Oryctolagus cuniculus: one gene and its partner. The protein of the gene in region 1 purifies or fractionates together with the protein of each later gene. This does not show direct contact. Links are inferred from orthologs where the notes say so. Each region holds a gene or a part of one and is shown in the gene's direction. Other genes may lie near its edges.

What was found.
Region 2: the proteins of RETREG1 (region 1) and GABARAPL1 purify together in Homo sapiens (affinity purification with western blotting; 3 studies listed by BioGRID and IntAct, with this or other methods). This does not show direct contact. The link is inferred for Oryctolagus cuniculus from reciprocal best matches to the Homo sapiens genes RETREG1 and GABARAPL1.

The regions. Positions count from the first base shown.
Region 1 is NC_091445.1:45,627,336-45,630,726, reverse strand, and holds part of RETREG1 (reticulophagy regulator 1), read left to right. Parts: intron 1-1,121; coding exon 1,122-1,259; intron 1,260-2,021; coding exon 2,022-2,086; intron 2,087-2,320; coding exon 2,321-2,447; intron 2,448-3,391. UniProt on the Homo sapiens protein: Endoplasmic reticulum (ER)-anchored autophagy regulator which mediates ER delivery into lysosomes through sequestration into autophagosomes.
Region 2 is NC_091440.1:106,922,732-106,926,558, forward strand, and holds the end of GABARAPL1 (gamma-aminobutyric acid receptor-associated protein-like 1), read left to right. Parts: coding exon 1-59; intron 60-1,043; coding exon 1,044-1,162; intron 1,163-2,251; coding exon 2,252-2,317; 3' UTR 2,318-3,537; downstream 3,538-3,827. UniProt on the Homo sapiens protein: Ubiquitin-like modifier that increases cell-surface expression of kappa-type opioid receptor through facilitating anterograde intracellular trafficking of the receptor. Involved in formation of autophagosomal vacuoles.

The DNA.
Region 1 (3,391 bases):
ATTTATATATAATTCTAGTCTAAGTAATCTTTACTGACAAAGCAGATCACTGGTTGCTTAGGGATGAGATGGGTGGTGGTAGGGAGAAGCAGGTTGAGAAGAAGCAGCAGAAGGGGAAAGATTAATAATAACGGGAGGAAACTTTTGGGGTGGTAGATATATTCACCACCCTTATTGTGGTGATTGATTCTTACCTGAATGCATATGTCAAAACTTAACAACTTATACACATTAAATATGTGCGGTTTATTATATATCAATCATAATTTTAAATGATATAAAATGTAGATTTTCTGCTACTGAAAGAGATGAAGATCTGACACCACTACCATTTTATGAGGCAAGTGCTCTCCCTTTAACCCCCATATTTTCCTAATTTTTTTTAACTCTGGCCTTTAAAATTTATAGGTAATTCTTTGGCCTCTAAAAATATGCAAGTTCCCAATTCTTATTTGAAGTAGCAGACATTTCCTAACACCAACAACACAGAAATAAAACAATAGAATACATTCAATGTGGCAGTCTAATTTCCTTTTGTATTTCAATGTACAACACAAAAATGCAAGTGGTCAGGGCTCAAATCCATTCTCCCAGATAGAACTCCTTTATCATCACCCTTTTGGTGCACATTGTTTAGGAGTTAATGGAGAAGAGGTGTGGGGAAGGAGCAGGTAGGACATCAGACTGATGGTTGCATTCATCTCATTTATAATCTGCATTAACCATAAGAAATAAAGGTATTATCCAGATATTACTGATATGCTAATAAATAATAACATTCCCATGGTAAAATGGCATTTAATAAATAAAACTGAGGTTTTAATCTAGGAATATTATCTGAAAGAACACATTTTTTTCTGTAAATTTTGAGGGTAAAAGGGAATTGATCTAATTGCAAGTCTGAAAGCAATGACTATGAACCCTTCTGAGTGTGCTGTAGTAGAAAGTCTTTTCATTACAAGAGAGGAATAGAAATTACGAACTTACCTCACAGAGGCATTTCCCTAGGGGAAAACACTTCTGTTTTCCACATAGAAACGTAATATTTGTGAAATCCTAAGGCGTAGCCTTTTGAAGGGAGCGGCGTTTTTACCTACACCTCTTTTCTTCTTGCTTTCCAGTGTTGTGTGCATTCTTGTGTCCGCTGTTTAAGTGTAATGATATTGGACAAAGAATATACAGCAAAATCAAGTCAGTTTTGCTGAAGCTAGATTTTGGAATTGGAGAATATATTAACCAGAAGAAACGTGAGAGATCTGGTAGGTAAAGTTTGAAGTTTAGATTCAATGCGTGAAATGAGACATTAGCAGTCTATTTATTATGAAATCACCTTCAATACATTTCAGAAGACGTTTACTAAATATTATAGGAGCTAAGTTCCCCAAAGTTAAATGCACACACACACACACACACACATACACACACAGCCTTTTCCTAGTTAAAGGCTTTTATTTTTTATCTTGAATGTACAATACATAAATAAATTGTTTTTTTAATCCAGACTGTCAGGGGAGGGAAAACAGACTTCAACAACTCTATATTTTGATATTTATTATTTATTGGACTATTACAAAAAAAGGTAGGTCTAAGAATTTGGGAGTCATGTTGAGGGAATTGGAAGAACAGGGAAAGGAAAACTTGCTGCATTTATTTGTTAACTTGGTGTAGGATCTTGGATTCTCAAAGTATGGCATGCATCAGAATCACCTGAAGAATTTGTTAAGGTGAAGATGGCTGGGCCCCACTCCAGAGTTTCTGACTTAGACGAGGGTCCAGCCTGAGCATTTCCAATTCCACGGAGTTCCTGGGGATGAAAAGGCTGCTGTTCACACTCTGAATATGGGACATTTCCTTTGGAAATCAAATATTTTGCAAACATGTGAAGCTTTTTAAGTGCAAAAATTTACTTATATGTAGGCATGAGAAAAAATGAGGAAAACGGGATAGGAATACATAATAGAAGAGTATACTGCGCCTATGTTGGCCAGGAAATTGAAAGCTTCTCATTTTTTTCTCAACAGAAGCAGATAAAGAAAAAAGTCACAAAGATGACAGTGAATTAGACTTTTCAGCTCTTTGTCCTAAGGTATTTTTTGCTTGATTTTCAATTTGTTTCTGTGTGTTTTGACCATCATTTAATTGAAAATCATAGCTGAATGATTTTGCTAATAGACTCCTCCTATTTTATAAGTTGAACAATTTCAAAAGAGAAATAATCATCTGGTTTGTATTATTCTGACCTTTTGAAGGTTATTAGGGAATTTTCCAAAAGGTTTCTCTCTGCAGTTCAAAGTGTGCCATGGTGTTTTTATTAACACAGATTAGCCTCACAGTTGCCGCCAAAGAGTTATCCGTGTCTGACACAGATGTTTCCGAGGTGTCCTGGACGGATAATGGGACCTTCAACCTTTCAGAAGGATATACTCCACAGACAGACACTTCAGACGGTATGCTAATACCCGTGAACAATTTTCTGTTTATCATTTTGCAAAAATATGAATTCTGTCAACTGTTGAATGGATAAATAAAATGAGGTGTGTTCACAACATGGAATATATTACTTGGCTTTAAAACTGAATAATGTACCAGTACTTTCTGCAACCTGGGTGAGCCTTGAAAACACTGCTCAGTGAAAGAAGCCAGACACAAAAGGCCACTTATTGTATAGTTCCAATTATATGAAATGCCCAGAGTACACAAGTCCACATTGAGAGAAAGTAGGTTAGTGGTTGCTGGGAACAGGAGGTCAGGGTCGGGAGAAATGGTGAATGACTGATAGTTGGCACAGGCTCCTTTTCAGAATGATGATGTGTTTTAGATCTAGATGGTTATACATCTTTGTGAATATACTAAAAAAAAAATCACTGAATTGTATACTTTAAAACTGTGAATTTTATGGTACATGAATTATATCTCAAAAGCTAATTTTTTTAAAGTATAAGAAAAAATCTAAGTTAATGTCCAAATCTGCCTTTATTTAAAAGACCAAAAAAAAAAAAAAAAAAAAACCCTGAAAAAAAATTAGCCTCTGAAATGTCTGGCAGCATTGCTTATGGCAAGAACTGGAGAGAAAGCAGCAGCTGATTCTGTGCATTCAACCCTAATTCTGAATTAGGGATTCAAAGGCTTAAAGCATGAATTCCAAAATTTGTCATATTTGTCTTCAAAGTTTAAAACCTTATTTTTTATAATTAGTTAAATTTCGTCTGTAACCCACATATGAAATAACACTTGTGCAATGACTTAGCTGTTGCTAGTCTCCATGGTTTAAGTCATCTCAGCCACTTATTGCTCACATATACATATGAGCAGATTATCACAAAGACACTCTTCTATACTTATTTTCCAAGGATGCACTTTCTTTTCCTATGAGAAGGTAGGACACAGGCTC
Region 2 (3,827 bases), on another chromosome or scaffold:
TAAAGCCAGGGTGCCGGATCTGGACAAGAGGAAGTACCTCGTGCCCTCTGACCTCACCGGTAATGTCCCTTTTCTCCCAAGCCCTCTGTCCCCTGAGATCATGAGATTGAGAGTATTGAATGGAGTCGAAGGATCTGAGTGTGGCTCTCCGCAGACTTGGCTGACTCAAAAATGATGTCAAGTCCCTTAAGCATTTCCCTTCACTGTGCCTTGTTTGATTCAGCCCCAGAAGAGCCCAAAACATTGGAGGAAAAGATCAGATGTCCATTATTTAAACCACCTATTAAATCAGCTTTGCCATTGTGATGTCAGTTTGTTTGAGGAGAAGTACCAGCCTAGTTTCCTGGGAGGATCACAGTTTAGAGATTATCGGTGAGATGTCTCATCTCCTCAGGCCATGTGGTTTTGTAATAGGTTTTGTATTGAGTTTGGAATTATAAAGAACATATTTGATCTTCACCTTGATCCTTAATGGAATACCTACTGTGTTCAGGAGACACTGAAAGATTATAGATCTCCTTGCTCCAGAGTTAATAGATTTGAATATTGACTTTCTAGAACATTTTCAGAATTCTCAGGAGATGTAACACACTACTTCACACTTGGTGCCCCCACACTGAATTGAGTGACCACCCTAAGACTCCTGGGGTCTGGTAGACCTCTTTCCATCTCTGGTTTGTCTTGGGGGAAGTGGGGGTGGAAGGGTGTTACAGGTCAGCTTTAGACAATGATGGGATTGATTGGTCTGGCTATACATAGAACTCCTGTGCATCAGGTGAATCTTGGGGTGGATCTGCTAACAGTGGGTCTGAAATTAATGGGGGAAAGAAGGAGTAAACTCCGCTGTGTTGCGCTTGGGACTCTGCGGGCCTCTCGTGTTTCACTTTTTATTCCCAAGGCTGCAGGAGGATGGTTGGCTCTGCTCAGATGGTCTCCAAAGCTGATACTTACTCTAGAGGGTACAGGTGCAGGAGAATTTACCCTTCCTTTAATCCCTTGTTTTCTGCTCTTCGTGCCTTCATTTTCCTTCTTCCTTCATCCAGTTGGCCAGTTCTACTTCTTAATCCGGAAGAGGATCCACCTGAGACCTGAGGACGCCTTATTCTTCTTTGTCAACAACACCATCCCTCCCACTAGTGCCACCATGGGCCAGCTGTATGAGGTAATGCTCCCGGTCGCAGCAGTTCCGAGCAGTCTGAGTTGTTGATAACACTGGGAAAGTGGGGCAGAAGGTGTTACTTACCAGGATCCTCTTACAGATGGCAGTGTCAGGCTCTGGGTGATCAGACAGCACTTGTCCTGCAGGGAAGCAGTCCTCAGGACTAGATTTATTCCCGCTGACAAATCTCTCTTCAGTCTCGCCTGACTACTGTTGTAATGTCAGTGGTCTTTATTGAAATGACTGGAAGTGGTTGTTGATAACAAAGATTCCAAACATGGATTCACTGCAGTTCCTCTTTTTCTTGTTGGTGACAAATAGTGTGAAAGCAAACTATGCATTCAGATCTCAGTTCATTATTTTATTGCTATTTATTTGAGAAAACAAATGGTGTTAATTTTAGCCCCTTCTAGCTCTGAAACTAACCTTAAGCTCTAAACCGAAATTTTGGTTTAAGACAACCATATAGAGCCACACAAGGGTAGCTCCTTATTTCTGAGTTCAAAGCTAAGAACATGAAACAGATTCACCATTACCTGGGCACAGTGAATTGTAATTGAAATTGAAATGCAAATTAAGGCCAAGTCTTCATTTTGATTCATTTATCTTAAGAGACAAACTCAGGGAGAATAACTTACCTGACTTGGTTTAATTGGTAATCTAATGAGTAAGCTATAGTAAAGCACTTTCTCACGTTGGAAATTGAACGTAACATTATAACTGTTGTACTCCTTAAAGGATTTCACACGAGTGCTGCCTTCTCATGGCGCCTCAGTAATGACACAAACTCTAATGGGACTTCTATTCCATAGTGTATCTTCTCCATTAATATATATTCCTGTACATGTCTTGTGGTATGTTTCCCTTGCTAATATGAACTTTAAAAAATATTTTAAATTATTTATTTGAAAGGCAGAGTGACAGAATTAGAATGAGATCTTCTACCCACAGGTTTAACCACTTCTGCTTACTCTTTTAATAGAGGCTAGTGATGTTCTTCATACTTATTCAATAAGGCTGTGTGTGGCTCAGAAGCCTAGGAATAATGAAGATGAATAGGTGTCCTGAGCTGTCTTCTTTTCTCTTCCCCAGGACAACCATGAGGAAGACTATTTTCTGTATGTGGCCTACAGCGATGAGAGTGTCTATGGGAAATGAGTGTTGGAAGCCCAGCAGATGGGAGCACCTGGACTTGGGGGTAGGGGAGGGGTATGTGTGGGACTTGGGGGAAGAGCAGGAGGGCTCCCACCATGGAGGAGACAGAATGTGAAGACATCGAGAAATATTACACCACACACACTGTCATCATATTTTCACATGCTCAGTTGATATTTTTTGCTGCTTCCTCGGCCCAGGGAGAAAGCATGTCAGAACAGAGCTGTTGGATTGGCTGTGAGAAAGGATTGAGGATGGCATAACTTTACAGCTTTGCTGAGAATACTTGTGCAATTTCATAGGAGGGTCAGCGTATGGACCAGGTGGGGCCAGAGACAGTTGCGGTCCAACAGTGACTCCCTCCTCACCATTCTAGTTTTGACATTCACATGAGACCAAAAGGGGAGGAAGACAGGAATGTTTTATGACTTGTGGTGGTGGGCCGTGCCTTCTGGGGACCAAGCCCATTGTAACTGAAGCACTGTGGCCTTCCACGACTCCTCCCTTCCATCCAAGTTGTATTGTCACACACAAACATCTCAGTGCCACCCCAGAGGTGGCAGTAGACACAGGCACAGAAATTGAGATGGCACTCTCTTACCTTGAAAATAGGGGTTAGTCATGACGGTGGTTATGATTACGAGGTAGTTAGGCCAGCACTGAACTGGAACGGACTTGAGTGTTGAGCCTCTCTAACCTGCTGTCTCTCTGGTGCCCCTTATCCCACACCTTTCTTGGAACTCAATGGGCCCCAGGCTAAAACTACTCCTTTAGCATATCCTTTAGCGTTTCCCGTGTATAGGGACAGAGGTGTCTTAGGTATGGCAGAGGCAGGTGGATCTCCAACTCCCACTCATCCAGACTCCTTCCTCTCCTGCTGCTGTCCCTGCAGTCTCACACGCACAGGACGGTGCTGACGGTGGCCAGCTGCTTCCCTCCTTTGGTTTCCACGCTGCAGCTGCTTGTCACAAGAGTTCGGAGGGCTGACTTTCAGTCACTATCGGGGATTTTACTGATCTGTTTTCCCTGCGGGGGTTACGTGGGGTGGGGTGGGGCCCAGGAATTGCACTCAGACGTGACATTTCATTTCATCTCCGCTACTAGAAAGAGTCCTTCCTGTTGGGAAATCTGTGTGTCAGTTCTGTCAGCTGCAGGTTCTTGTATAACAAAGTCAATGCTGTCAGGCCTCAGAAATAAAGTAATTTGCTCACCTTCAGAATTTACATGGAGTTCATAAGTGTTGCTTTTATTCGGTGTACGTTAGAGTAGATGGCACGCGGACTCTGAGCAGAACGCTGGGAGCGAGGTGAGCGAGTGCTCACCTCCATGATCAGATGTACACGTGTCGTCTCAGCTCGTTGCTGACCTGGAGTTGCCCTCGAGGGTGAGTGGTAGAGTGGGGCAGTGTGCCCGGTGTGCTGGTGATGTGTGCTTTGGCAGAGCTGAAGGTGGAACTGCCTGCATCAGAGCATGGCGGGCGGGTCGGGGGTGTGCGGATTACAAATGAAGATGT